Linked DNA regions of Drosophila melanogaster. The protein of the gene in region 2 interacts with the protein of the main gene of each other region in a pairwise test. Each region holds a gene or a part of one and is shown on either strand. Other genes may lie near its edges.

Region 1 (14,260 bases), on a different chromosome or scaffold from region 2:
GTTCTGCTCGGGAGCACCGCCAGAGGAGGCGGCCGTGGCTGCAGCTGCGGCACCACCGGCTGAGCCACTCGTCGGACCCTCCGTTTGGGCCAACTGCACCAGGACGATGCCCATCACCAGGAGCAGCAGCGCACCCCACTGCGTGTTCAGCAGCTTGCGGCGCAGAATGACAACCGCGAACATGGCCGTGGTGAGAATCTTCAGCTGGTACGTCACCTGGTAGGTGGCCGCATCCAAATGGGAGGCAGAGACGTACAGCAGATTGTTTTGAACGATATAGACCAGCGAGGGGACGCACACCTTCAGCGTGTCCATGGGATTCGCAATGATGGTCTTGTGCAGCGAGCGTACAAACTTCTGGGCATCCTTGCCCTCCTCGTTGAAGACCAGGAACAGGCACGTGATCAGTTTGGCGAACTCTGCCATGAGTACGGCTGCGAAAGAGGGCGCAAAATGGCAATCAATCAATCAAATATATGTACATATATACTAATAAGTCCAAGTATCGCTGTTCGGGTTTTCAAATAAGTCCGGTTAACTTACACACAGAGTCACCAAAGCAATAACCAAAGTTTAATGGCAAAATGTAAACCCATATGTAATTCAAGAATGCCAACCAAACCTCCTTGAGCTATCGCGGTAGAAGTTCCCCAACAGTTTTATCAAGCTATTAGGAGCTAAATGCGGAAGTGGCTGCTTATCAGTTTCTTTGGCAGCTTCACATCTACCCGAACGACCATTCCCCGCCTGCCACTGCTCCTACACCACCTTCACCTCCACCTCTTCGACTCGTTTGCTTTTACTGCTGATGTTGCTGCTTGCGTGGACAGACCCACGTCGAGGTTTCGTGGAAGTGGCTCTGGGCAACGAGGTGAATCTGCTAAGCGGTGAACCGGCTTGACCTGCTGAGCCCGACGACCTGTTGGACTTTTGGATAAGCACTCACCCGTGGAGCTGAGGAAGATGTCGCCTGGCCGGGTGCGGGCGTAGCGCATGCTGAGGCCCAGGATGGCATTCTGCAGGGTCAGCGTCAGCAGGCTGATGTACTTCAGCGTATTGGCGTTCACTGTGCGATGGGAATAGGAATACGTGACGGGGGCGGGCAGGAGCGCCATGTCAGTACCGCTGGAGTAACGCCACCGCACTAAAGGCCAAATACTCACTGTGTATGCTATTCATGGTGCTACGCTTCTAGCTCTATTGTCTCAACTCCAAAACCAAATAGAAACCGAAGGCAAACAAAACGCCGTAGTTGGGGGTACACAAAGACTCCGTTCCTGGCCAAGATCAGTTGTCGGCGGGCCGTTCCGTTTGGCAGTTCGTTCCCTTCAAGTTGGCCAGAAAAGCAGAAGAGCGCAAATGAAGACGACTCCACTGGACCGGGCGACACGTAAACAACAATCAGAGCCCGAAGCTTCTGCCAGCGGCGGCTTTTTATCGCCGCCTATGTGGTTGTTGTTGCTGCGCGCCAGGGACGTGGTCCTGGGCTTGCAACGGGGGTCATAAATGCGAAACCTTCTTAATTGAATGCAAACAAAATTTAAAAGTGCATTGTGCATTTCAGTAAAGTAAATACACCTTACATATGCTCCTGGGGGATGGATCCCCATTTTAAAGCAAGCTACGCCCATGGCGTGCAGCTTTTGTTGCTATTTTCGCAGCAGAGACCGACTTTTCGATAGTCACAGTGCTGGCATTGTGGCGGAACTCGCGAAAAAAGAAGTTGCTTGCAAAAAAAGCTAGATATACAATAATCGGGCATTGAGATTGCTTAAATTAATGTATATATTATGACTTTAAAATTAAAATTAAAATTTAACAAGAGAGCATGGGGATCGAAAGTAGAAAACAAGAAAACTCATGGACGAAATACATAAATACATATTGTGCATGCTTGTTCTACATGCACATGTATGTTAAATTTTTAAGCCCAGCGAAATTTATTTTTGCCGCACTAGGTTGGCTATTTACTCAGCTGCCGTTGAAAATACGTCATGAAAGCCAGTATATGCAGACAATTAAAATAAACATAAAACATCAAATTAAGCCAGTGAATGATGAACAACCTGTTGGCGGCACCTGATAATTGCGATGCATCAAATTTACAATACAACATTACAAATATATTGCCATTTGGGGGGATTAAATAAATTAATTTAATCAAATGCAATAAATGAAAACATTAATAATTTCCGTGTTGATTTTAAATCTTTTACTTTTTTGAGTTCATCACTAGAATTCGCTTTCGCCTGCCGCCTATCGATAACATTGCTCGGTGTGGCGATTTCGTAAATAGTTTTCTAACTGAATAATGGTAACAGTTGGCCACTTTAGTTGATAATTCATAATTGCAAAGACCAGAGACGCCAGGACACGATGAAGGAACAGCCGCTAAAGGAGATCACACAGCTCATCCACGCCATCAAAGTGGGGTAAGTCGTCGGTTGGCAGGCACTGCGATTCATTTGGTTGTTAAAGTGGCATATGTTTTGCAGGCTGGTGGAGGGATCCTACAACATAACCAACAAGACGCTGGACATCTTCAAGTACATCATCATGAGCAAGAGCTGGCAGAACGCCGAGTGAGTTGCAAGGGATGGCACACCAAGGATAACACATTAACTGATAAACAACTCCCCCTCATTTGACAGTGCTCTCATGCAGATTGTGCGCGACCAGTGTAAGATCCTGCAGGCAGCTCTGCCCCAGGAGACGGTTACCTCGAACATTGCCAGGCGGATCCTCAAGCTGACTCGCGAGGAGTTCGATCTGTTGCACGCCAAGGTGCAACACTTCGCGGACGACTCACAGGCCTCGCTGTCGCTTCACAAGCTAGTCACGCAGACCAGCGAGAGCAACGTCAGCGTAGATTACTCGGTGCCCCAGCATGGATTGCGGGAAGCGCTGCTCGACCACCTGCAGGAGGTGGAAACGGAGCTGGAGACCAGTTCGGAGAACATCTGCGTCCAGGCCGAGGAGCACATCCATTCGTCGGAGATCATCTTGACACTGGGACACTCGCGCAGCGTCGAGAATTTCCTCAAAAGGGCGATCAAAAAGCGTCAGTTTCTCACCATCATCGTAGCCGAATGTGCGCCAGCCTGCCGGGTTAGTTGGGTCTCTTTATGGGACGACAGTATTTGTGGGGTGTAAGAAAATGCTCTTATGTTGCTTAACAACTGCCTATGTCTTTTACAGGGTCACAATTTGGCCGCCAGCTTGGCCAACGAGAAGAATGTGGAGATTGTTGTGATCCCAGATGCGGCCATCTTCGCTATGATGTCGCGCGTCAACAAGGTAATAATCGGTACGCACAGCGTGCTGGCTAATGGAGGACTCAGAGCGGCGTGTGGAGCGTATACAGTGGCCCTGGCCGCCAAGCATTACTCCGTGCCGGTCATTGTACTGGCGCCCATGTACAAACTCTCACCATTGCATCTGTGCGAGCAGGACGCCTTCAATATGGTCGGCTGTGCGGAGGATGTGATACCCTACGATTCGATTCCAGCGCGCGAAGCCAAGGTATACAGTCCCATGTTCGACTACGTGCCTCCGGAACTGGTCACCCTTTTCATATCCAACACGTAAGTAGTGCGCTTATCGGCCTTTCGACTCTTTTTTATTGCATTTATTGGATTCTTTTTTTACTTAGCGGTGGCCATGCCCCCTCGTATGTGTACCGCCTCCTTACGGAACTGTATCATCCCGAAGATTTGGAGATTTGAAATCGTGTTTGTCTCGTTGTTTTAGCAATTCTACCAATAAAGTCTACAGTAAAGTAGCAAGCCCATTTCGATTTGGATTGATTTAAATGCATCAATTTCGTAGACATTTATAAACTTTAAAATTCAACAATAATTATATCGAATAAGCAATAACGGTGGATCGGTTTTCGATTTAAGAACATTACTACTTTATCTTGGGTTGATATAGTTAATTTCAGGTAGCACGTTTCTCGTAATTTCCCTGCGGCACACGATCCTCAACCTATTTTTGAATATTTTCAAGCAGCTGCGTGAAGTCGGCCAGGCTATCGGCATAGTAATCCGGCTGCGCTTCCACCGGGGCGTTCAGCATGTCCTCCTTTGTTAGGCAGCCGCTAAGTACCAGCAGGGACTGGAAGCCGCAGGCCTTGCCGAACTGCACATCCTGCACCAGTGTGTCCCCGATGAAGATGCAGCGCTTGCAATCACGAATCTCGAACATTTCGCCAAACATTTCGCCCAAAATGGGAGACGGCTTGCCCAGAAACGTGGCCTCGCGTTGCGTGTAGCGTTTAACGTGCTCCAGGAAGTCAAAGAACCCGGCCACATTGAGATTCTCCGCCAGTGGCATGATGACATCGCTGCCGCCGGCTATCAACTGGCAGTCGTCATTCTCCTGAAGGTGCCTAATGGCCTTCGCCAGCTCCACGTACGAGAGGTCCAAGTGGATGTCGAATAGCACAGCGCCCACGGGCTTTTCAATGGCCAGGTGATCCACCAGCGACGCGGCCGTCAGGTGCTCCTTGACTTGCTGAAGGAGAATGATATGAAATTTAATAGTCACACGGAAGCTCTTGAACTAAATATATTGTATATATATATTTATAAGTAATAACCTTCCCCTTACCAGCGATTCAAACTCGATGTTGTGCTTACGTAACGTTTCGTTCGCTTCGAGGGACATGAGGGAGTATACCCGCTCCCCCGGCTTGTGCTTCTTCAGGTACCGGACAATGGTCTTCACCGGATGAACGATGTCGTCCTCCTGGACGTTCTTGGCGCCGATGTGGCGAAACTTCTCCATGTAATCCTCCTCGGACCGGAAGCTGTTGTTCGACACGAACTTGATCTGCTTGCCGGCCGCTTTCAAGGCATTGACGGCGGCTCCCGTGTTGGGAATCCAGCCCACCAGGAGCCAGACGACGCCATCGCAGTCGCTGATCACCAAATCGAAGGAATCGATGAACTGCCGCTGCTCCTCGAGGCTGAGCTTCAAAATGTGTCGTGGTGGCGACATGGTAATGTTGGTTTTTTGGCTTACAGGAACGAATTGGATGCTGGTTGCGCGCGCACGGAAATTCCACAGCCGACTAACCGCCTTTGCCGGCATTTAACCTTCAATGTCAACGCATTGACATTGTTCCCCCGGTTCCTCGAACCCGAACCCAACCACCCCTCGCCCATACAACCCTATGCCTACGTACATATGTGCTAAGTATCTTTTATTACACGATTTAGCGAACCCGAGCGGAGTGGCTCGTCCGATAAGATTCCGTATGTAAATATAAGATCTTCTGTGTGGAACGCGGCATGAAAGACTCGTGCGATTTGTTGTCTATTTCACATTCCCATCTGCCGGACAGAGCGGATAGCAGTCCGGAAAATACATACATACATATGTATCTCATTTGCTTCCTAGTTCGGATTTACAATCAAGCGTACGCGTGATTATACCAAGTTTATCTTAAGGAACAACTTATAAAATGAGTCTGCTGCATTCGTCAAATTTTGGTTATTCATGCTTTTGACTGTCATTTGAATTTACCGGATATAATTTAGAACCATATAGATTATCGAACTAGTTCCACTGCCAAATGTGACTGAAATATATTGGTCTCGAAATAATTGACAGCCTTATTATTGAATTCAATTCTATGCAATCAAAGCGAAACCACAAACCCAAAATGGCTGTAAAGAAAAATTTAATTAAATTTCAAAGGCTTTTGGCATGCTATAAATATTATATGTATTTTGCGATTCACATGCTTCCTTTTCTTCCTTTCAATTGCATTTCTTACAAATCCTCTGCGATACACGTGATTGAAGGCGATTGACATACATACATATGTATGTATGTAAGTATTGATCGGTGGTGCATCGGCCTTTTGTTGCTGCTGTTGTTCGCTCAAGCTTATAACAGGCAGGCACAAACGTGTACAGTGAACACTCGAGGAAACATGTATGAGCACGCTTTCCTCAGTTCGAAAAGCAAAGGTACAGTTGACGCATGGAGAAACTAATAAGTATGATGACAATTGCGAAAGTTCAGCAGCGTAGACAACAGAATGCCTGTCGCCCTACGGAGGTCCCACTGTGCTGGGCCGTAGACCCTGGCCACACATGTCAACACCTTGACATTGATGGCTGCGGCATTTGGCCAACGGAAGCGGAGAGGGGGAAATGGAAAAGCCGCCGGAACGGAGGAAACCACAAATGGCCAATAATTCAAATTCAAATGCAACATTTCAATTGGCGGGGTCCGGAAGACGCTCGTGTCCATGTCCGCGTCCGCGGCGGTGAAGGCAAAAGAACTGGCCAACGGGGCGGGTACTTGATGTGCGAGCGCGTGTGAGTCGCGTCGCTTGGGGTTCGGCTGCGTTTTTGGTTTGGTTTGGTTTGGTTTGGTTGGTTTTGGCTGCGGCTTTTTGGTATATCGCATCACAAGTCCAAATCGATTGCCGGGCCAGCTAGTTTAGTTAGGCGTCTCCCTGATAAGATACGAAAGTACGAGTTGCGAACGCTTGCGAAGAATTCCGCCAGAAGAAAAGCACATTCGGCCACCTGAGCTTGGAGCAACTGTTCCCGGCGGTTATACAACCAGACGACAACTAGTCAAAAACTAAGGAAAATTGCCGAAAATGTCTACCCTGGCCAATGGTGGAAAGGAGGAGGATCTAAAAATTCTGGCTCAGCTGAAGAGCATCGAACAGATCAACGAGCAGCGCCGCATATTTCTCAACAGCACGATCAATGAGGAGGTGCCGGAGGCCACAAACGGATCGACGGTTCGGGAGGAGGACCTGGAGAAGAATCTGAAGGCCATAGACGAGCCGCAGTCTACGAAGATGCCCCCGGAGGAGGTGGCGAAGAAAACGCCTGATGAGGTCCCAGCCCAGGAGCAGCAGAAGGAACCCGAAAAGGTGGAGCCAGCCAAACCAGTGCCCCCCAACACGCTCACCCTGAACGTGAAATACGCCACGCTGCCAAGTCCGAATGTGGTGACCCTGCGATCCCCACTTTCGCCGCCCCCTAAGCCGCCAATGCTGGGCCGCACCCGCAGTACAGGTCCCGCCGATGGCAAGGGTCCAGCGAGCAATGGAGCTCTCTCGCCGGACAGCTCCATAATCCGTCAGAGCTTTCCCGAAGGCGTCATCACGCCCAGCAAGCCGGAAAAGAGCCCTGCCACGCCCAGCGAGGAAGGCCCGCCGACCGTCTCCGCCCGCCACTACGAGGGACTGATCGAGGAGCTGAGGTGTCCCGGCTGTGCCGGCGCCATGAAGGCGCCCATCCTTCTGTGCAAGAGTGGCCACAGTGTCTGTGAACAGTGCACCCGCATTTTGCTCATGTGCCCGCTCTGCAAGGTAAAAATTGACGTCAGCTCGCCAAAAGTGTTGTTCGGTTATCAATATCATATTGCCCCAATGTGCGCTCCTTATCTAGTGACGTGCAAATATACATTGGTATAGACTAAGGAAAAGCTACTCGCAGATTGCCATCATCGACAGGCGCAGGACAGAATGATCTCCGGTGGAGATTAGTTTATTACCCAGCCGAGGGTGTCTAATCAATTTTCAAGTGCAGCCCCACTATCTGCACTACAAGTGTGACTATAAAAAATAAGCCTTGTCTTGCACTAGGAAATGTGTGGTGCCACCAGTTCACTCTTCTAGGGCATATTTATTAGTGCCATCTTCTAAATATCCAACCGAATCTGAAATCTGCAAGAAGGAAGTCGATATTAACGTTTGCTCGGACTTTTCCATAGATAAACTTGTATGCTCGCTAACCAATGGACAAAATAAGTACATCGAAAAGCCCGTGTCATACTATCACTATGATAAGTATGATAAAGTGTATAGTTTCTTCATCATCAAGTTCTTTCCATCAATACTAGGAAATGGGGCATATGATATGGGTAACACACATCACATTCGAACTTGCACACTAAATTGTATGCCAATCCCGATGTCAATGCAAATAACTTTATGTTTCAGGAACCCTTCACCAACTCCCGATCGCTGACCGTGGAGGCGCTGTGCGCCAAGGCGCACTTCCGGTGCGGACACGCCTCCGGCGGCTGCCAGGTGCGGATGCCGGTCGTCCTGCTGCCGTGGCACGAACAGCAGTGCATGTACAAGCCGATGAAGTGCTTCATGGGCCGAGTGTGGGGCGATTGCCGCTGGCAGGGGCGCGAGGTGCAGTGGAAAGAGCATCTGGAGGAGCAGCACGACGACCGCCTGTTTCGGTCAAGCAGCGCTGATCTGGAATGGAATCTAGGCACGCGGCGGAAACCGTTAACCGGCTACTATGTCTTCCAGGCGCACGACGAAATGTTCAACTTCTACGAGATCCACGACCGCCAGCGTGTGCTGTTCACCATGACCTGCACGTCGAACCGGCGGGACAGCAAGTACAACTTCGCCTACGAGGTGACGGTGCTGCTGCCAGACAACGAGGCGCTGTCCATGACCCAGAAGTTTCCCGTGCACAGCGAGTACGACAAGGACATCCTCATGGAGGGCACATGTGTCAGCATTCCGCTGACGGAGCTTAACCGCTTTCTGGACCAGGACAAGGTGAGGGAGTACTTAGCACCAAATGTCCAGCATTCTAACTAATCCACTCATTCGACGACCACCCGGCAGGTTCTTCATTACCGCGTGAGTGTGCTGGCGGTCAAGTCGCCGCGTCGCGCAAAACCACCTCGCCAAAATCTGCCGCAGCCGGCGGACCTGGAACAGGCCCCGAATGGAGGCGTCAACGTGAAGAGCGTGCCGACCAACATGATCATTACGCGCACCTACAAGGAGGCCATCGGCGAGGTGACCAAAGCGGATGTGGCCAGTCCGGACTCGGAGGAGGATCCGGCTGCAGCCGACGGCGCTGGGGCCATTGGAGCCGACGGAGCCGGCGGTGTGGAGCTCGAGCGCAAGTGGGGCACACCGCAGCTGCACTTCAATCGGAAATATCTGCGGAACACTCTGAACGATGCCACGCCCGCGGAGGATGAGCTGCGTCCGCTGGCCGCCGATCTGCGCAATGGAAATGGCGACGATAAGCTCTCCCAGTGCAGCAACAGCACGAGTTACACGAAAAAGGTGTCGGATTCGCTGCGAAGAAGCTTCCGGGCACTCAAGGCGGATATCGTGGAGCTGCGCCCGTTCAGCAAGAAGGCAGTCAGGGATGGATCGACCTCTCCGGTCCAAAGCAATGGCAAGTAGTGATTCCGTGTGTGTGCCTTTTCTAATTCGTCAACAGTCGCAAGAGTTGAAAGCATGTAAATATAGCAAATGTTTTAATCTATTGTATATGTACTAAAACCGAAATAAATAAAATAAAAAATAAAAAAAAAAAAACAAATTATACTCCACACACGTTCGTTACTTGAATCTCAGTCCGTAGCAAGCTGCGAATGAAACGAGTTTGGTTTGGTATTGGTTTGGATGACACGTTTTATCTAGGACTTAGACTACTCAGCTACCACTACGCGACTCCTTTTGCGTGCTACAGCAAGCCCTGCATCTCGTTCATGAACTGCAGATAGGCGTCATCCTTGGTGGGCGGCTTGCTGTGCGCCTCGGAGTGGGCGTGGTGTCCATCGTTGGCCGCATGCCTGGGCCTCGCCGTGCGTCGCTGATCCTCGCGCTTCACTCGCAACGTGGACGGTACAAAGCGGGTGACATCCGCACTCAGATTCCTAATGAGTAAGTTTGGAATGTTTAGTAATGGGAATTGGTTCTACTGCGCCGGAAAGTCATCGAACCCACCTGATTTGTGGCTTGGCTGTAATAGTGGCCACACCCTTGGCTGACTCCTTTGGTGCACCTGCGCCGCCTCCCTGCTTATTGTGGTGCGCAAGGCGCGGAGGCAGACCTGGCGGCGGTCCTGGTGGCATCCTGATGCCCATGCGCGGTATTGGTCCCAGGCCATGCGGTGCCCTGGGTCCTGGCGGCGGTCCAGGTGGCATGCGTATGCCAAAGCCGGAACCCGGGTGAGGAGGTCGCATGGGTGGAGGTCGGTACATTATGCCAGGTGGCCCAAGATTAGGAATTGGCGGTAGGTGTGGCAGCTGTGGCGGCGCAGGCACAGACGACGCTGGTGGCAGCGGAATAGTCGGCAATGTGGGCGCTGTCGGAGGAGCTGGCGCGGGTGTCGCTGTAGATGATTTGACTGATGCTGGCTTGGTCGGCACTTCGGGCATATTTTCATCCTCATCCTGGTCATCGTCGTCCTCATCGTCCGTACTGCTGGCGGTTCTCTTATCGGAGTCAGATGTTCGTTCCTCTATCTTATCTATATCTTTCCCATCGTCCTCCTCCCGCTTTTTGTCGGCCTCGTCCTCTTTAGCCGCCAGTTTTCGATGCTTACGCTTGTGCACATGCTCCATTTCCTTCATGAAGTCGTCGATATTTTGGTTATTTGGCTCGGTGGCCTCGCTGTTCTTGTCCTTCTCTTTATCCTTGCCCTTCTTCAATGGCTCTGGCTCCTCCTCCTCGCCCTCACCATCGTAGTCAGTATTTCCCTCGGCATCGGAATTGAGTTCGGAAAAGGCAAACAGATCTGGCGGCGGTCCCGGCGGGACACCCAGCCAATCCTTTTGCTCGTTCTCCTTCGATTTCTCCACTTGCGCCTCGCTGGCTAAATCGCTATTTCTGGACACGCCTGGTGGAGCGCCTGGAGCATAAGGCGGCAGTGCCATTGTCATGGGCGGTGGGGGAAGGCGTATGACAACGGATGCGCCGAATCCCGCAACCACCGATCCGCCAGTCGTTTCGGTAGAACCGCCTGACACGGCAGACACCGGAGCGGGCAGTGGAATTTCGTCAATCTGGACGCTCTGGGCGTGCTTAACGCTTTCGTAGTACTGCTGCTTCTTCAGGCGCTTCTTCTCATACTCCACCTCCTTGCGCTTGAGGTCCGCCCAGTGCTCCGGCTCGTCATTGTGCTGGAAGATGGATATTTCAGTTGTTAGGTGGACTACACTATTATCGTGCCGAGTTGGTCTTACATAGAGTCGCATTACGCGGTCGAATGTTTCCTTCAGCTTTTTGCGCTTGTCGCGCAGCACCTTCTCGTTCAGCGGCGATGGTTGCAGAACGTTGTACTCTGCAAATTGTAGACGCTGCATGAGTGGCTGACGCGAATCCTGCAGGCTCGATGGACTACTCACCCATCTCGTCGATCTTCTCCATCTCCTCAAGTATCTGTGAAGGATCCTTGTTCTTCAAAACGGCGGCCCGCACCATTTGGCGCTGTTTCTTGTTCTTCTTGAGCTCCTTCTTGCGGGCCTCCTTGCCTGAAAGGTGCAGCATGGTGGATTCAACATATCGAGCTAAAAAGGATCATACTTACGCGCCTGGTCCGTGGGATTCATGTACTTTCCACTCTTCGTGGTGTTTATGGAGCGGCGTCCCATCTTGCTGGCTATTTCTTGTTGCTGCAACTAAACGAATGACTTCACCTAAACGCCGGCGCTGCAATATTGTTACCGGCGTTTTTTTCCTGCCCAACGTCCTAATTTGCTTTTATAATATCACTTTCAATTGATTTATTTATATTTTTATTTATTTATTCGTTTGCAGCTCGATAGGCCGATACACGCGCAGGCTGATATCGATAAAAACAGAACAGTAAGCACTAGAGCTCGAAGTGTGACCAACAAAATTTGGCGGGGAATAGCTAACATCCCATACGCTCAAAAGTTTTCTCCGATGTTTTTCATCACTAGCCAGGATTAGAAAAACGATAGACGATTATTACCGCCACATAGGTAACGCGGCAACAGACGCGAAATTGCCAGTACGATGGCATTCGAGAGCTCTGCACAGCAGTTAAAGATTCCGGACGAAAGGATGAATGCACAGTTGAACAATAGTGGCGTACAGGTAGGATGTGAACCAGTCGCCAGCCAGGTCAGTCAATCCTAAGCCCATTTGGTTGATTTCATGTAACCGCGTGCAAGGCGTCGCAATCCCATGTCCTATTCACACCCAATCAGATACCGGGCGCGCTGATAAGGATTTCAGACGATTTCCTTACCTCCACGCCGGGAGAGGGCCAGAAGGACGTGCCCACCACGGAGAGCACAAAATTGCAGAACCTGCACAGCCGCAAGCTGTGGGACATAGGTAATAACAATGTTATCTACTTGACACCTGCATTTTCATTTCGTTTTCATGATGCAGGTCCTGGTTCCATTCATGGCGAGGGGAAGACACCGAAGTTGGCCGTGAAGCGTCTCTGGCCAGGCTGCGGGGACGACGAGCCGAACGCCAAAAAAGGTAAGTGGGTCTGGTTATGGGAATATGGGATATCGGGCAGCCCAAGCTAAATTCATGCAGGCAACTAGCTGTGCTTGTGCTTTTTAAGTCATCCCAATAACCGGCCTCAAACTTTCCCGCTATCAGTCAACATTGCCGTTTACAGAGCTTCTCGTGCCGTTGTTTTTCAGCACTGGCATTCGAGCAATTTGTGTCGATATACGATAGGAAAATAACGCCGCTACCTCAAATCGAAAAAAGTCAAAGCCGCAAACAAAATAACGAATTCGATTTCGCATTCGAAATGTCCGCGAAGCCAAGTGCCAATTCGGAGGACATCCTTCTGGCCGGCCTGCTCCAGGACTGGAAACTAGAGGACCATGACAACGCACAGATTGGCTGCGACCCAGCGCCCATGCCGGCCAGTCAATCCGAATTGGCACTGGTTCATTTGAAGTTGCCGTGCAAGACGCCCCAATCCCAGCCCCAGGTGGAAGCCCATCAAAATGCTTCAGTTGCGACCGTCAACAGCGACAGCGGAAGCATAATACTAGTGTCCGATGATTCCTCAGCTACGGCGTGCAGCTTCCTTCACTCGTCCGAGCTCTGTAACTCCTCCGACTTCGAAGAACTGCGCAAGGAGTTCACCGAGGACTCCTCATACATCGATCTCTCACTTGATTCGGGCAGCAGCAGTGAGTGCCGATCAATCAGTAATAACAATAATAATTATAACACTGCGAATGCAATAGATCCTAGTGCCATTGAAACCGACATGAAGACACACAAACTGGGCGCGAAGCGCAGATCGCCGCAGACCAAGGGCGATGTGTTGGCCAAAAAGATTTGTGAGTAAGAGGTCGAATTGATCTGCAACCTTAGGGGCACCTGCTCTAGCTAAACCATTTACTAAATTGCTACTACGCAGCTTACCAGAATCTGAACGAGATGAACATCTCCTCGAATCAACCCGTGGTGACGCGCAGTGGTCGTGTTGTGGTCTCACGTCCGAACCAGCAGTTTGACTACTCCTCCTCCTCCCAGTCGAAGGGCGATGGCGAGGAGGACTCCGACGAGGTGTCACTGGATGCCGACGACGATGAGTATGAGGGAGAAGATTTCGATCAGCTCAAGTGGACGGAGCGCAAACGGCGTAGCTTTAGAAACACCAGCTTAGCCTTCAGCCCCGATGGCAGCCGCTCGTCGCCGGAGGCAACACCTCCGATGGTCTATGTCGAATTGGGCGGCAAAATCGTGATCATTAGGGATAAACCACAGCCCAATATCGTTCTGGAAGACGATAAGGAACTCAAGACGCAGATGCACAAGTTTTTGGGTCTGATTCCATCACGTCGCAAGCTCTTCGATCCGTCGGAATACAATATGGATCGGGGGGATATTGAGATGGATGTGTACGTACCGACCAGTCTTGTTACCAATCCATCACCTAGGTCCTCACCAAGCCCAGTTACTCCATCGGCCAGGTCACGAATATGGCAGGAAACAACGCCGACATCCATTTGCTCCAACTTGAATTTATCGCATACCTACACACCGACCGTGAATGAGCTCCAGACTAAGCACATGGATGACTCTATAATCCAGGTGAATTTGGACTGCTTTCAGAAGAAAACACCAGACTCTGTCAAGGAGCCCATTGATCTAAGCGAGCTTCCCAGCCAAAAGCAACTAGCCACCAACTGCCGCCGCCACAAGAGCTGTGTAGCCCGCCTGGAGCGGCACCCACATTTCTACGGTTTCGTCCAGTCGCTCAGACCGTCAGTCTCGCTCAACATGTGCCATCCGCTGGCCCTCACCTTCCGGCGGACCAATTTCCAGCAATCTAAGGTGGCACTGGCCAAGGTTCTGTTCAACATGTTCAATCACGCGGTCTTCCACTGTGGCCTGCAGGTGCCCATTGTTTGGAAGCACGCAATGAAGAAGCGCTGGAAATGCGAGCTTGGCTTCGACGCCTCCGGCAGGCGCACAGCACAGATCCTGCTTCTGCACAGCATA
Region 2 (17,290 bases):
GCCAGAGACAATTGAAACTTTTTGTTCGAGGATGAGTACGAGTTTCAGAGTGAGATTGGGAATGGGAATGAGCACGACTACGACTACGAGTACAATTCTGGTCGCATTCACAATTGAGGACATGAGCTTTTCTTCTTGGCCGGCCAGCTTGACATGCGTTGGCAGGACCTCCGTTCCCACTTTTCAACTTCTCCATTCTTATGTGCCAAAGCATGTGTTTGAGCACTGAAAAATGTGAGCAACTTGGGCAATGCAATTAGTATTCTGTTAAGCAATTCATTTTTAGAAGCATTTCACTAAGTTCATTGAAAATTATGATGAATAATTCAATTTTTGTACGTAATTGGTTATGATAATACATCGTATAAAAATCTATAGAAACTGCGACATCTCTAACACATAACAAAACTCCTATATAACTATTTATTTATTTTATTTGATTAATCTGTCGAACGCTTCTTGTTTTGCAGTGCATGTGCGTTCACATAAGTTGGCCAAGCTGTTGGGCTGCTTGTGGTCGGTTTGCCTTCCAGCCATATTCCCATCCATTCATTCAGTTTGACATGGCAGCTGCCTGGTCAGCCATCCGACGACTCCCTTCTATATAGCACCTCCCTTAGCTCGATTCCTTTCCTTTCCTTACCATGCCATTCAAAGAACTCTTGTTATGCTCGCCCTGCTTGCGGTTTTGTCCATGGCCAAATGCAACAGCGTCTATGGGAACGCGGTGGTGGTTGGGGGTTTGTTGTTCAGCTGAGTGGCAAGACAAAGCTTGAGCCGCAATCGCAGACCCCCACACGGTGGAAAAATATCATGAGCATTCGTAATCAATCAATCAATTACTTCTCCTTGTTTCTAGCTTATTTTTAAGTGCTTATTCTTAAATGTTTAAATTGTACAGCTTATATAATATTTTTATAAGTATTATAACCAATTGTTATAATACATTCTAACTTAGTTAAAGCAAAACAGTATAAATGTACTTTCATTTCATTAATATCCTCTTTTCGTCTGTATAGCCAATGACCATGTCTTGTAGCCGTAGTAGTTGCCGGAGTCGCAATCGGAGTCAGTTGAGTGCCTTTGTTGCGGTTCATTCAGTTGTATATGTGGCTCGGCTCGGCCGAAAGTCCTTACCGTGGCTTGTTGCTTGGCTTATAGCTCTTGGCCTGCTCCTGGGCCCTCTGATGCACTGTTGCCGTCGCCTCATCGGGGCTGTCGCATTCTTCAATGTCTCCTTTTAGTAGCGTCATGGGCTTCATACTTTGTATTGAAAAGTTTTCGCGCGCGACTGACAGCAGCTGAATGGGAAGTCTGCCTTTCTTTCCGCACATATATAGATATATATGTACATTCCTCGTCTTGGGAAACTTTGGCTTGCAGCGGATATCCCAATGCTCCACTTGATTCAACTTCAAGTGCTATATAATCGCAATTAAGTCAGTACTTCCAATTGAATAAGTACTTCGAAACGTAATCGATTGCCTGCCCAACATAATTGTTACTACAATTATACAAGATATAAACCTCCATTTTTAAGTCTTAAACGTTTGGAATATCTTTTTCAAATTTAGTTTGTTGGGTAAACTATTACTTTCGCCGTCCACTGCAGTCAATGTGTTTCTTTCCCTCTTTTTGGCTTGATTGTGTATATGTGTCTGTGTGTGTGCATTGTCCTCGTTGCCATTGTTTAATGGTCACATTAAAAATGCCTCATTGTTGGCTCTGTTGTCGTTGTCAACTTCTGACCGCGCCCTTTGCACAATATTTTCCACTGCATTTCGCCATTTCGCCCACCACCCAATGTTCGCCACCCCGGCCATTTTGCCATTTTCCTGCAATTTTCTTTTTCTTTCGGCCACGGCGCAGAAAAGTATGCAATACAAAATGCATGCCGGCGGCATTGGACTTTTTAGTGGCTTGCATTGCACTTTCTGTTTACTCGTACTTTGCAATGGTGTGTGCATGTGCGGGAGTGTGTGTGTGTCTGTGCATGAGTGGGTGTTTGCACGTGAGTACATTAGCTGGAAATTTAAGGTGGGCACGTGTGTGTGCATGCTGCTGCACAGTGGGCATTTACAGCAAACAAAACATCCTTTGTGGGCATCGACTTTTCGTGGATTCTGCCACCGCTGCCGCAGTACCAGAGTCCTTCATGTGAGCACAATGCCGAACGGCAACAAGGTGCTGCAGCCTGCACTTTTGCACCACCCGCACCTTGTCCCACCCGCTCTCTGGGGCATTGAAAGAGCTCATTATGGCAGGTACCTTTTTACCCAGTGATGCTGGAATCTAATCCAAAACGAGGGCAAGATGTCTACAAAAAAGTTACTAAAACGTTCAACGCCTTTAAGAAATATGCAATCCAATAGTGTTTATTCACAGAATTCTATAATTACAGAAACCAAATATATAAAATTAAACAAAGAAAATTGTAAAAGAATCTGGTATAGCTATTAAAAATTTTCAAAATGTGTATTTACGGTTCCAAATAATATAATAATATAAAATGGATACCAATATATTTAAATAATGTCTGAAATACCATTTTATGTTATCAAGACTTCCTGCCAGCACAGTCCCTAAGCACTCTCATGCACTTTGATTGGTGGCCGAAAGTGGGAGGCACAAAGGAGTCGTATTGGCAACAGAAAGGAAGCTTATTTTAGTTGTTAACTGATGTGGGCGTGCCACTGTTGGCTCCTCTAATAGTTTGTTGTTTGCCAGCTTGGGTCTGTTGGGCAAAATTAGATAATTGAAATTGAAACTGGATAGAATGATGCTTCAGATCGAAGCTACGTAAGTCAGCTTAAAAGTTTACCTCTGCGGGGCATGAGAAAATTACTTTGAAATTGCCATTGGGAAAAAATTCCCATTTAGCGGAGTAAAGATAATCCGCAGCTACTTTCATCTGATGATTCAATTGTGTGGCAATTCACAAAGCTGGCGAAATAATTAAACAGAAATATGGCTGAAAATCCATAAATCAGGCAGCCAGCCGGAAATGGCATTAAAATAATACATTAACTTCACCAAAACGTTGCGTCGCCCACACAAAAATGTGATTAATTTAAAAGAATGCGAGGGCGTACGGCGAAGGAAACTCACGAAGTTATTAACGGAGAGTCCTCGCCCCCAACCAATACAATTTACGAGTAATAGCATTGTAATAAAAACAAATTTCCACAAACGTTTGGCCTAATTGTACGATAGAAAAAATGAAAGCATTACCCCAGCCAATCTCTACCACCCGCCAATAGAATTTATTTCTGCGGTTTAGTGGGAGTGTACTATTCGCGGGGACTGTTGCTCGTGCGACCAGCGTGACACAGAAAATTTCACAGCACTGCCAAAAGCAGCGAAAATAACCCACAAATTGTTTTGGCCAAGTAGTTGCATGTGAGTGGCGCATAACCAGCCCCCTCGAGGACCCCTCTATCGAGGGGTATGGCACCTTCTCTATGAGAAAGGTGCTGCTGCTGGATCCGTGAGGTTGACGTTGACGTTGCTGACTAAGGCGACGACAAAACACACGAACATAAACCCCAAGCACACACAACGACGACAATATAAACACGATAAGCAAAAAACTGCGACTTCCCCTCGGGGAACGTGCCCCAAGTCAGAATTTGAAAGCGAAGTGGTGGTGGTTAATGGCGGTGTTGGGACGGGGGAAGTCAGGTACTGTGGTGCAGTGTTTGGGAATTTCGAAAATATAAATATAAAGTTTCAATTACGTACCATTAATCCAGCTGCCATATCCAGTCAAGCGATTATAAAAGTTAATCGTTGGGAAAAATGTTTTTGCAAGCCTCGGATATGGCTATAAGCATATATATGCTTGCTTATTAAATTATATTTTACTACAATTGTCATTAAATAATCATAGAAAATGTTGGGAAACTCTCTTTAATGTAAATAAAACAGGGCTTAGATAATTTGTATTATTTTCTAGAAAGTGTTTGTGCCTTTCCTTTGACCATCTTCTAAACCAAATATGTATTATATCATTTAGAAAATAGCCATCCAGCTTATTAAAGTCAAAAAAATCTAACCACAGTGCCATGAAGCCTTTGAGCCACAGGGGGTAAAAGGACCTGCTTTAGCTAAAGCTACGGTGTTATGGTAAGCGTTTCCCTACCCTGCAGCTCTCCCCTGGAAATCAGTTTAAAGGCCGAAGCTCCGCCGCGGGCAAAGACACAATCCCACAATCAATCGGTCAAAGCCAGGAATCTACTGGATCCCATGCGAACATAATAATTGGAGAGGATAAGGAATCTCCTGGCGACGCCACTGGTCGACAGGTAATAGTGCAATGAGAAAGGTGAAAAAGCCAAACAGCTAAGAGAACACAGCAAATGGCCCACTGGATTTTCCTTTGCACTGGTATGAGTGCATGTCTGTGTGAGTGTGTGAGTGTGTGTGTTTGTGTGCGAGTGCTTGTGGTTTTCCTAAGCAGGGCACAATTAGTGGTGGAGCAGCGGGCGGGAAGCGGTGGGCAGTTAGCCCCATAAGTCAGTCACTCACACAGGCGAACGTGTAATTCGATTCGCGATTCGAGGAAAGGAGGTAGAAAGAGAAAGGCACTCTCTAAGAAAATTGGCTGCGTCGCCAAGGAAATTTAGAGTGGACAAAAGGCAGCAGTAGCAGCAGAAGGTAAAGCTGCGGGAAAACCAGCAGAACAGCCAGCAGGCAGCGCCGCTCGAAACACACTTCAAAAACACTTTGACCGGCAAAGTTGCCACACGGAATTTCTTCTTGTGCATCGGTAAATGCCAGAAAGTAAGCAAAACTTTCGCACTTTTGTTTTGGCCAACTTTCTTGCCAGCGCGAGAGATGTTTTAATAAACTCGCCTTCGAGTTCATTAAATTTGATTCAAGTAAATGGGTTTGTGCTATCCGATAAGTGAGTGTTTTTCCCGTTTTTCCCCGAAAAACCGATCCAAAAGTGGAGACAATTGCGGCTGATTGATAGGCAATTAGTGGAAGTGGATGCTGCTGATGTTGCAAGTGGAGAGGCACAACTGTTTGTGCATAAATAACCCAAAGCAACAACTGCCGGCCCAAGTGTCATTAACCTAATTGCCGCAAAAGAAGCCACCGCGCCACTTTTACCCCAACCGAAAAAATATACGGCCATAAATACGACGACCAAAAGGAAGAAGCAACGTGCAACGTGTTGCAATAAAAACAAATTTGCATAAAACAGGTAAATCCAAACCCAAGCCCGCCGCCACCCCACAAATAAAAAGGTGAAACCATAAAAAAAATCAAGTAAAAGGGCTCACCAGTGAAAATTCCAGCTCCCTTGGCCCACAAATATTTATTTTTTGTTGCAATTGTAAAATACACGAAATTCCAATGCAGTGAAAAGGACTTGGATCCCGGTTTGTGTGGAAGTGTGTGTGAATGGTTGTAGGTGAACTGTGTGTGAGTGTGAGTGCAGAGTGGTCAAAGACACAAGAGACCAATGCCACTTAAGCCAGGAGTCGTCGGCTTGTTCCCTGCCGTCTGCAATTTTTCGGTGCTTAACACTCGATGCACTGGGGAAAAATCAGGAAAAACAGCCAGAATGATTTTCCTTAAATCTAAAATCCTGTTTCTGGGGTATTCAGATGTTAAATATAACAAATTTGCAAAGTGATATTGCGGGTCCTTTTGTGCGAGTTTTTAGTTAGATATTAGTAATAATATATAGAATATATATATAAAGATACAACTAGAATTGTTTATGCATTTATTTTGGACACAATATAGTTCTTGAACCTAAACCCAAAATGGTTTAGAATTTTTTCATACGACTTCGAGTGTACCCTCATCGATGTGTGAGGTAGCCAAATGCAAGGCAAGGCAAGGCAGGGCAAATAATACGCGATATTTTCGGCCTCTCCAGCGGGAGAGGAGAGGAGTGGAGCCGCCTGAACTGTGAACCCTGAACCCAGAACCCAGAACCCTGTCCCTCGACCCCGCAGAAGTGTGAATGTTTGTAGTGCCCACGCCGAATGGTTGAGTGGGGCTCTTTGGTCTGTTTGCTGGGACAAAGGCAGTGGCAAGTGCTCGCCGGACAGCCCATTGAATCCTTTGGAGTCCTGTGAAGTGGGGGAGTCGAGCAGCAGGCAGGCTGAGAGGGCGGAACTCTGGAGAGCCCTGGGCAATGGGAGCATTGGACACATTGCATCGAGAGTTCGTGGCATATCGATTACGTAGAGGGTGAGGATATAGTTAACAGTTGATATTTCTAAGTGCAAGGCTTGAGTGGAACAAGGACCAGGACATATGTATGCTGTGTTTGAGGATTATGAATGAAGACATTACATGGGAATATATATTCGATAATTACAATCTATTGACATGTTAAAGGCTATCAGAGAACTGTGAAGATTTGGCATTGTTTCTCCACAGTTGGTACATGATAAACAATTTTGAATCACGAATATTATAACTGATAGATTCCTTAACAGAATTTACTTCCAACCTTTTATAGACCTCTTATATTAGGAGAGTGACGTTCGATGTTCGAACCGATGTTTTATAAAAAAATGTTTTTTTTTGGTTCCAAAAATATTATTTAAAATGACTTAAATTAAATCCTTAATCAAATTTCTAATCAAACATTTTCCACTTTAGCCAGGCCAGCAACGTAGTTCTTTGCTGGGCAACCAGCGACTGCGTGCTCGAAGAAAACCTCCAAGAAGTTGCCCCCCTTTTGGGAGCTCCAAGTTTTCCTTTGCGTCGACGCGACGCTGCCCTTAGCGATTCCGTTTGACCACAACAAACCGAGCACGCAAGTTGAGCCAATTCCTTAAGAGAAAGCTGACGTGACTGCTTTAGGAGCAGGACAAGCAACAGTACCAACACCAGGACAATGTCCAACGAAGAGAACGACGACTATATGGCCAGCTTGAGTCAGGCCCAGACCGGCGAGGATGAGGTCGATGGCGGTGGAGAGGCAGCTGGCAGTAACGACTCCGTTCTGGGCGGCCAAACAATGCCACAAATTAGTCCGAACGCACCGCTCGAGGGAAACGTTTCGCCGCCACCGACGCAGCCCCATTTGGATGATAATCTGCACAACGGGAACGGGAACGGGAACGGCATCCACAGCAGCAGCAGCAACATTAACAAGCACGGCAGCAACATCAACGGCAACAACGATAGCAACCGCAGCAGTCCTGCGAAGAGTCCCAAGCGCCCAGTGTCCTCCAGCTTCCGGATTCAGAACACCAGCCGGTACGATAATGATGAGGAGGACTTAGCAGCCAGCGAGCAGGTGGCTGGTGGAGATCGCCAGGTGCCGGATTATTGGCAGCAACGGAACGGTGCGACCACTGGTGCAACCAGTGGGCGGCAGAGTCGCGCCATTAGTCCCGGGTATCTGGACAACATGAGCGAGAACTCGGAGCAGCCGCCAGTGGTGCCGCTGGTGCGATCTAAATCCCGTCCAGAAATTTCAAGTGCAGCGGCATCGCGATATAATAATCTCTCCTATTGGAAGGCACGCCGTGTGGTGTTCTACCGGAATGGGGATCCATTCTTTCCGGGTGTGGAGCTGCGCTATCGTCCCGGACGGGATGTAACCTCACTGGACAATCTTCTCGATAAGATCTCGCCCAAGATGGACTTGCCACGGGGTGCTCGATATGTGTTCTCCATGGACGGAGATCGAAAATATCATCTCGATGAACTGGAGGATGGAGCCTTCTATGTCGTATCCTCGTTCAAGGCCTTCAAGGTTAGTACCAGATTATTTGCATGCATTTCTGCTTTCAGCTCAGCTAAGTTTTTCATTATTTTGAAGTTTAAGTGAGAGTTTTCACGTCAGGCGCAAAATCAATATAAATTTGAATATTTTGGTATAATTTTAGTTAGTGTGCCGGTTGTGTGTGTAAGTGTGCATAACATACATAAAACTATATACGAGGTTTTGGCGTTTTTTTGCGGTCAGCGCTGTGGAGTGAGAAAACTTGGTCACTTGGCCTAAAAATCAAAGGCGTCGCTTTCCTTTCGGCTTCTTTGTTTTGCTCCCTCTTCTTCGGAAAAGCGGGTCCTTGCGGGGGAAATGGGTGAAGTGAGCGGGTGGGTGGTTAGTTGTTCGGTGGGGCCACATTTTTGCATGCAAGCACTTTCGTTTTCTCTCGCTCTCATTCACATACACATTCGCATTCACTCACTCTCGCTGTTGTGGGAGTCTAGCCCTAGAAACAATGCCAACAATTAGCACGCCTTTTGGCCTGCCACGAGGGCAAGTTGGGAATTAGGTCTTAGCCTTTATGGTCGACTGAGAGTGGGCTAACTTGAGAGTTGGGACGGCTAAGAGAACAGTGGTTCTTAAGAGTAGCTCAGTTGAGCAAAAAAGGATAAGGACATTAACTCTTTAGGCCGAAATGGTCAGCTGGCAGTTTATCGATAAGTTCCATCAATATACTGAAAGCGGTGGATGGAATCGAATTAAAAGTAACAGATTTAACGATAACTTTTCATCCAAAAGTTCGAGGGAGAAAATTATTTCTTTTATTTACATAGTACATTAATTTCTTGATTCTATAAAACAAGTTAATTATATTAATGTAAAAAGACTTAAGTATAAGAAACAAGGGGATAAAGTCATAAAAACATTGTATGAAATTCGAAAAACCATTTCGTCACCCAAGGACATTTTTTTAGGCAACCCATTTGAAGGGTTGACTTTCGCATAAATTTCAATCAGATACTCGCCAAACAGTTGGCTTAAAAGTCTTCTCTTTTTACATCTGGCCGAGGCAGTTGGCCAAAAACAAAAAAAAATCCACACAAATCGCAGACATCATGCGGGTGCAGCAATCAAGCGTCCGCACATCCAACATGTTCCGGAACAACTATTGAAAAAGTTTCCACCTTCCGTTTGACAAACGTTGTGGGTGGCTGATGATGATAAGGCTGAGTGGGAGTGGCTTTGGGAGTTGGGGTGTTTTTGTGGGATTGGCTGGAGAGGCTGCGGCAAACCATAATCGCTAACGACCAAGTCAAAAGCCATCCCCGACTATGCGTCTAATGCAGTCGAAGCGTGAGCCAAAGTCAGGATGTGCCAGTGCCCAAGACAAAGAAAAAAGGCAGCCATTCCATCCCGCCAGGATACCCAAGACCCCACACCCGCCATCCACCAGGTTGGGGCTTCTCCTCCGGGCTCCACTACGGGACACCAAGTACCGACTGCGACTCCGGCCTCAACTTCAGCTGCAACTCGCTACGGCAAAGGCAATTGCGCCTGGCCCGCGGCTAGCAAACAAAAGCGCAGCATGGAGCATGCAGAGTGCACTTGCGAAAATACTTCAACCAAGGATATTTTTTTTTTCGGTCAAGATTGACAGAACTCATACATATATATTCGGATTTTTTGTTCTTGGTAGAACATGAGAGAAGTGTCGAAATATTTGAATTTTTTGTTTTTTCTTTTCCTCAAAGATCTTCGGCAACAGTTTAATCTTATTCTGAGCGTTTAATAAAATAGTGTCATTTCATTTTTTAACTACTGCGCTTGAAATATTGTATTTAAAGTACTGAGTATGTAACCTGATTTTGCAACATTAAAAAACTTTTGAAAAAATCACCGACATAAAATGATTGAACTGAGAGTTTGCGGTTTTCACCAAAAAATATGGTCAATAAAAACCCAAGGCCAAAATAAACCGCAATTCGCGGTTTTGTTCAATTTATTTCTGAAAATTGACTATTTATGAAGAATAACTATAACTTGATGTAGCTGTGGTCAAGAATGGTATACATTTAAAGTGAAAATATAAAAAAAATTCCATTATTGCTAATTTAAAATTTGAATGCGATTGGTAAAGAAACTTTAACCGTTAAGCCGAAAAAATTGTGTCAAAATCATAGAGTTATTTTGGCCGTAAAGTACAAAGGTTTAGTAAGTTAGCCAAAAATGTATTTGTGATGAATGGCTCAGTTAAGTATTTATCCAGTATGTATCCAAAATCTCAGAATTTTCAGAAAATTTTATCCGGGAATTGAAAATGTACTTGTTCCTGATACTAATTTTGGTGTGCAGAACAGGAATCTTCGATGAAAGATGTTTAGCCCTACAAATTCCCAATGAAATAAGAAAAGTACCCATTTTTTCTCTATGTATAGGGCTTCGCTCCATTCGCTGCACCGCCTGAAATCAAAACTTATGATGAGCCAGCGGCGCTCTCTTCGGCAACCAAAGGGGATCCGTTGTGTGGGGTCGTGGGCTCCAGCTCCACGCCGTGGCACAAAAGGCCACAAAGAACAATGGAGCTGCGGGCACATATATACTCATCAGATGGGAAAATGCATAGAAAATCAGCCGGCACTTCGGGCGCTCTCACGCGAAAAAGGCCAATTTGAAAACTTGTGGCGTTTCACTTAGGGAAATTAAAAATGTATGCAAAGTACTACGCCGAACGGGAGGGGCCAAGAAATCGGGCCAGAGCAGGCGCAAAGTGCATTTTGGCCTGGCTAATAATATAAATTCATTTTGCGGCCGAGCCGAGCGGACGAAAACTGTTTACAAAATCATTTATGATAATTTATTCAACCGGGCATGCGTGACGACACTCACGCCGACACGCGAAATTTGAATGATTTTGGGTGCAGCAAATTGCATTAACCTTGTCAAAAGCTTGCCCCGCCAAATAATTGCTGTGTTGTGCGCCAAAAGAACCCGGAGTGGGTGGCTTGTGCACACAGTTTGTAATCAAAATTTAAATTTCTAACCATCCAGAGAAGGTCGAAGGCCCAACAGTGGGTTGAGACAGAGGAATTTTCAGACAATGAAAAGGAAACGTCGTTTTTGGTTGTTCCAAGGAGCCGAGGGAAAATAATGGGGAAGGGATTAACGAGCATTAATGGAATTTGTTAGCTTTCTCTGAAAGGAATTCAAGTTGCTGTCGCCTTAACAATTTTTCATTTCCATATTCTTAATTTGTTTATGGTATACATCTTCTTGGTAAAGAGGATGGAAAATAATCTCAAAGTAAATTTAATAAAACCAAAGGAATGTAAAATGCAAAACAGAACCCTTTTGTAATATATTTTTTGGCCGTTATTTTAGCCTTGGGCCGCATAAGGATATTTCATTTAATGCTAAAGTCCTCAATCGGTTAATGTATAAATCCATAAATGCTAAACACACTAAAAATTGAACTATTTTACCCTTTAACACATGATATAAATAGTATCGGCTCTGACCCCATAAAAATTCAATTTAAAAGCTGACCAACTTTCAGTAGAATTAAGAATGTGTCATGCCATAAAAATATTACAAAATGTTTGGTTTCAAGAAAATGAAGAAATGATTTAATACCGCCCTGCATTTTGTATTTTATTTAATTTATTTTGTTCTTCTGCCACCACACCTTCGAATGCAGTTGCAATGTCATTTACAAGCTTTTCTCTTTTTTCGACCGCAATATGAAATTCCATTTGAATTCTCCTTGCTGGCCAATTTAGCGGTGAAATTAGATATATATCGTGCAATTTAGCAACTAGCCCAGAGACCAGAATTCTGCTGACCGATAATGCCACTGTGCCATAAATACGCCTTAAAGGTGCAGCACGCCAATTATGAATGATGGTCAGGACTTTCCTTTGCTTTCCTTTTCCTGCTGCACCCCAAAACCCGGTTGGCCAAGAAAAATGGACACGCAGAGCCGCAAAGAAATTAAGATTTTTGGCACAAACGTGAGCGGCATGCCAAGAGAACAAAAGCCAAAATGCGGGGCATGCAGCACGCAAGGTCAGCGCCATTGTAATTAACTGCATATAAAGTGGGCAGTGGGTGGTAATCGGCAGTGGTAACGGGCGAAAGGCGAATGGAGAGCGACCAGATTTCACGTCAATTATTTTTTTTTTTTTTTGCCTGCCAAGGCGGCCAACTTATGACCAAACAAGCTGCAGTGACATGTGAACAAGATTAAACCCCACAAACCACCGTCTCGTCTGCGTTATTTTCCAGGTTTTCCGCCCTCATCGCTTTTCCACACCGCAGAAAGCCAAAAACTTCGGAACTTGCCTTTGGGCTATAAAGCGTTTGATAAATTTCGCTGCCATTTACGTGTTGCACGCGCCAGGGATGTGAAATGTGGATGAACCAGCTGGCGAGCGATGGCGATGGCGATGGTGTGGGCTCAGATAGTTGACTATGGCTAACAGGTGGGGTATGGACTGTTGGTGGTGGTGGTGGTAAAGACGAGGTGAAAGGGGGTTAAATGGCGATGAGGGGCCGGGACAACTGTGTCCGTTGACTGCACCTGACGACATAAATTGCGCATTTGCGTGGTCGTGATCCTTTTCACTTACAGCGCCACGACAAAATCTCGGTTGCCTCCAGAGCTGCCTTTTGCCCCTCCCAACCCTTTAGCTCTGCACCCTACCCCTCCATTCACTTCGAAAATTTAACAAAAGGTGCAAGCCAACCGGGCGTATGAGTAATGCGCGTTTGTGTGTGTACAACGCGTCTGCTTCACAATTACAAGAGGATTTTATACTCAATACCCACTGAACGAGCGGTGAGCAGGGGAATATAAATTTGGAAAATAATGTACTTATAATTATTTTGAGAATACGGATATTCATACTCAAAAAAAGGCAACAAGCCAGATTTATCTTATTTATTGATTAATTTATAGGGAAGTATATAACTCAATAGTTTTAAACGTGGCTATTTATTTTAATTATACAATAATATAAAAATATATATATATTTCATAAATTCGTTGCTAAATATATTGAAAACTGTACAGAACTTCAAAGAATATTTATGAGTATATATAATTAATAGAAATCCATTAAACTTTTATATAAGAAAAAATTTCCTGATCACTCCACAGTTCGAAACTCCGTAACTTTTCCAGCTCCTTTGCTGCTGCTGCAATGATTTTTTAATTGCTCGACACAAATATAAACACAGACTGGCCATTTTTTGTTGTTTTCTGCTGTCCAGCATTGTTGACCGCTGCTGACTCTTCTCGGCAGGATCTACTGGTGCCATTGTGGGCTCATTTTAATGATTTTCTGACTACGTCATCAGAGCCATGCTTGATTTACATTTTTGAGTTGTCCGCCGGTGCAGCATTACGGCTACTGATTGCATTGACAGTTGGCACACGTAGCTGCTGCAGCATCAGGATATTCAGGGGATTCACATCGAGATTCTGGAGTGGCAGAAGGATGGTGGGGAGTTTCCAGGCGAAATGCCATGGATTTTTACCGTTTAATTGCCGCCTTTCATCGCATTCTTAATTTGTTGTTCGCTGCCATTTTTTTGTCCTTTTGCACTTTTTCATTTAAATTTGTTTGCCAATCAGGTCGTATGAAAAGGTCCGAAATAATTGCTCCATTCTGCGGATAGATTCGATTATTGAAAAATTACATTACTACTTGTATAATTAAATGGCTTTCAGGCCGGGAACAATAACAAACAATTTGTATCACGCCTTCGAATCTAATTGGAGTCAAGTTCGAATTGAGTCGCCAAATTGTTGAACAATATGCGTGCTCGATTGAGAACATGTATTACGTGTATGTGTTTAATTTGGTCGCACATAATGAAGATGCAGCAGGCTGAAATGTTGTCTATACGACAGAGGGAGGTTTTTGCAGTTTATTCCAGAAACCAACAAAAAACTTGGACTTTTTGTTAAAGATATATATTATTTTAAAAAATATATAATATAATATACATATATAATATGTATATAATATATATTATGTAAACTATTAGGCTTGTAAAGATATAACGTATATTTTTGGCTTAACGATTATTTTAAGGACTTTTACATTTTTAAAGTAAAAGTGATATTACACACGTAATTAAGCTCTACTGCCCTTTATTTTTTCGTGATAATAAACTGCCCTTGTTATTTTATACAATATTTTGGTCTCCGATATGAATTTCCATATAACTGACTTATTGCAAACGATAATCAGCATCAATCCGTATTATTCGACAACATTTATTCCTTAAGAATCCTTGATCAACCCTCTGTAGTCATAATTATGTGTTTACATATGTATGGACATATGTATGGGCTCGAACGCGTCTATAGCCTTAAGGCGTTTTGCAATTATGGCAAAAGCTACAGCAACAGCAGTAGCAACAACCATGGAAACTTGGGCGGGGAGCCAAGAGATTTTGCTTACGAAGACGCCTATTAATATTACGCTCTCGCCGTGTTGCAGGCGCATTGGCTTGGAAAATGTGACCCAGACCGCCATTGTTGTTGGACTGCTATAGTTTTCCTTCGGGCAGGACTAACAATTAGGAGCATCCAGATGCCTCGACGCAATTGGGGCTGGGATTTCGTAAGGGCATTAATAAAGCACTTTAATAAATTAGTCCAACCGAAGCACTTAAGCGTCTTATCAAATCAGAGCAGTTGCATGCCGTGGCTTAACGCACACATTTGCACGAGTGCGGTGCATAAATATGTGAATATTCATATATATGTTTACCCGATCCTCATTGTGGTTGACATTTAAATGGCTCATTGTTGTAGTTTGCGGCCATTGAAATTGCACTAGCAATACGGGAGGCGGGTTGCGGGTGTCGGGACAGCAGCGACCGCATGTGCGAGTTCCTATGAAAATATGTAGGTGTTGAAATCGAAAAACAGCTCCGGACAATAATAACAATTATTGAAAACAATGAAACACAAATGAAAAACAATATTACCAGCCAGCCATCCTACTGCCCGCAAACATCCATGCCCATAAATGGCCTACGGTGGGTTATTTTCGCCATTGAGTTATTAAATGTGCCTGTCATGTGCTAGTAAAAAAAAGGAGCCTCTAAAATAAAATAAAAGTTTAATAGTCGTTTGGTGTTCCTCTCCATTTTGATGGGTTAAATAATATGTATGATTTCATTTGGAGCATTTCAACTATTTCGTGCAATTTTAGTTAGCACCAAAACAATATCAGACGAATAAATATGTTTTGGAGATTATTTTGAATAACAGATTTAAATTATAACATAATTTCTACACATACTGAAAATATAATGCCATAGCTTTATTACTGGCAATTTCCCTCATTGTCCCACAATCAGGCATTAAGCAACCCACACACTCGCAATAAAAGGACATGCCGTGAGCTCTTGTCCTGCCACTCGCCCACAAGCAGAAAGGACGTGCTGGACCAATACAGAGGCACTCGCTGGATTTTTCTGTATAAACATGACAATTTAAAACGCATTACAGTGCGGCAATTAATTAAACTGTCATTGGTTTGCAAGATTCTGAATCGTTTCGCCGCGCCACAGAGTCAAAATAAATTGTATACAAAAAGCGCGCACAGGAGAACACAAATATTGCATTAAAAGCCAGGGGAATGGAGAAGGTTCGCCGGGTTGACTGGCAACAGTAAAGCATTGCGTAAATTTATTGAATTGTAAAAAGAACATATATCAGCGTTTTTAATTGCAACGCCAGCAACAACAAGGAGCCGGCGTGTTGAATAAATAGCCGAGGACAGTTTAAACTGTTGAAATTGGAAGGTTTCCGAGTGCCAGTAACGGTGGAGAAACTATAAAAGTTTATCGAGTAGGCTACATAAAAAGGGTTGAACTTATTTGCTTACCCCTTTTACGAGAGGGAAATTAGAATTGGCCATTTAAATCATCGAAGATACTCGCTCTTTTCCTCATTTGACCCTTATTGAAACAGCCGCAGAAGTAATCCACTTTAACGAGTCCATAAATGGTAAACGACTGTTGTTTTGTTTTCAATGAGCTGTAATAATTTCACTCGTTTTTACTACTTCCCGTGTCCATAAAACAAAATTAAAATATATTAACTTAATCAAAAGAAGAGCGAGTCGCAGAACTTTTTGGCTGCTCGGAAGCCAATTTATGCTGGTCCAGAGCACAAGTTGCCAAGAACGGAAAGCCGCAAACTCCGAGAAAAACTTAGACCAGAGCCAAATGACAGTAATTAGAATTTGTTGGAATTTTTTTTTTTGGTTATTTGGCTATTTGTTTATTCGCTCTACGTTTGGCAACACGGACTCGGCTGTTGCCAAAAAAGCAAGTGGCCAACTGGCAGCAACTGTAATAAATGACAACAAATTCCTCGCAGCCAGGGAAGTCGTCTAAACGTTTTTTCCCCGAAAGGCATAAAGGAATAAATAAATTATTTACACTCGTACACCCACATCTTTTTGAATTTTCCGGAGTTACGAATGCAGCCCACTGGATATAATATTTTCATAATTTTGTGACTGACGTCACTCGACTTTAAACTATGCAAAACAACTCAATCCATCGGACCGTGGTGCTGTAAAGCACTCGGCCAACATTCCTGTCGCCCTCAAAGCGCACAGAGCAATAAAACACAGGCCTCCAGAAAGGGGTGTGGGCTGGAAAAGCTGGAAAAGCGGCTGGGGAATGTCTTCAGCTCGAATTGATGGCGCTGACTACGAAATCGACTTGTGTGTGCCATATTGTGAGTGAGTGTGCTGGTGTTGTCTGTCCGTTGTTCCGCTAATGGTGAAAGTTGTCAAGCGGCTCAAGTGGTAAAGTGGAAGTACCAGGATAGTGGTTACGGTGGGCTGCGGCGTTATGGGTTCCGGGTTGAGGGGCAAACTTCCGTTGTTTTTCCCTCAGACAACAACTTTCACTTGAGAGAGCTGGCCCGCAGCACAAGGGAACTAAATGGTAGTTGGTCCGATAAAAAACACACCAAATCGGTATTACTCGGCCACCTTTTATACCATACTTTTTGGGGTACTCAATCATTGGATAAAAACGGCTTCTTTAAAGTGAAAAATATTTAATTAATACGAAGCTCTGTATTAATAATAACCAACTGTGGATGTGAATTAATTGCATTAGAGGTTATCGAGATTGCTTTTAAACGAGGGAAATAATCTTTTTTTTCGTAATGTCATAATTATTCTCTTTTCCGTTAGCTTTTTTAACGTAGAAAAACCAAATGTAATGTTGTTAAAAATCTTTATTGAGAGCATGTAATTCATTAAAATTACAAACATTAAATCATCTGTTGTTTTTGCAGTGCTATTAAATGAACATAGGAAATGTAATATGTTTAAAAATCCTCCTCCATGTTTACGATTTTTTCTTTTTGATTTATCTCATTGGTGATTAAACAGAATAACAATAGCTCAATGTTTTGAAAGAGAGTTAAAATATGATATTCCAAGTTTTTAATGAAATAACTCTTTTTAAAATATTATGCTGATACAAACATAAAATAATATAAGCAAAGTGCGTGGTTTTTGATAATCCTTCCATTATTTCCGAATGAAAACTTTCTCG

Evidence for each region.
Region 1: the proteins of DCX-EMAP (region 2) and CG2680 interact in a two-hybrid assay, tested with the Drosophila melanogaster proteins (one large-scale study listed by BioGRID).

What each region holds. Positions count from the first base shown.
Region 1 is NC_004354.4:2,702,342-2,716,601, forward strand, and holds CG2680 (uncharacterized protein), read right to left. Parts: upstream 5,087-14,260; 5' UTR 5,002-5,086; coding exon 4,612-5,001; intron 4,516-4,611; coding exon 3,988-4,515; 3' UTR 3,810-3,987; downstream 1-3,809. Other genes in the region: Ugalt (UDP-galactose transporter), read right to left, coding at 1-434, 947-1,115; eIF2Bbeta (eukaryotic translation initiation factor 2B subunit beta), read left to right, coding at 2,377-2,432, 2,496-2,582, 2,652-3,108, 3,199-3,584, 3,653-3,725; CG2681 (uncharacterized protein), read left to right, coding at 6,623-7,345, 7,979-8,560, 8,630-9,205; CG2685 (uncharacterized protein), read right to left, coding at 9,489-9,681, 9,752-10,929, 10,993-11,090, 11,155-11,280, 11,337-11,400; CG2694 (uncharacterized protein), read left to right, coding at 11,789-11,869, 11,947-12,112, 12,170-12,265, 12,436-12,939, 12,997-13,092, 13,173-14,260.
Region 2 is NT_037436.4:14,897,249-14,914,538, forward strand, and holds the start of DCX-EMAP (Doublecortin-domain-containing echinoderm-microtubule-associated protein), read left to right. Parts: upstream 1-6,556; 5' UTR 6,557-6,988; coding exon 6,989-7,732; intron 7,733-17,290.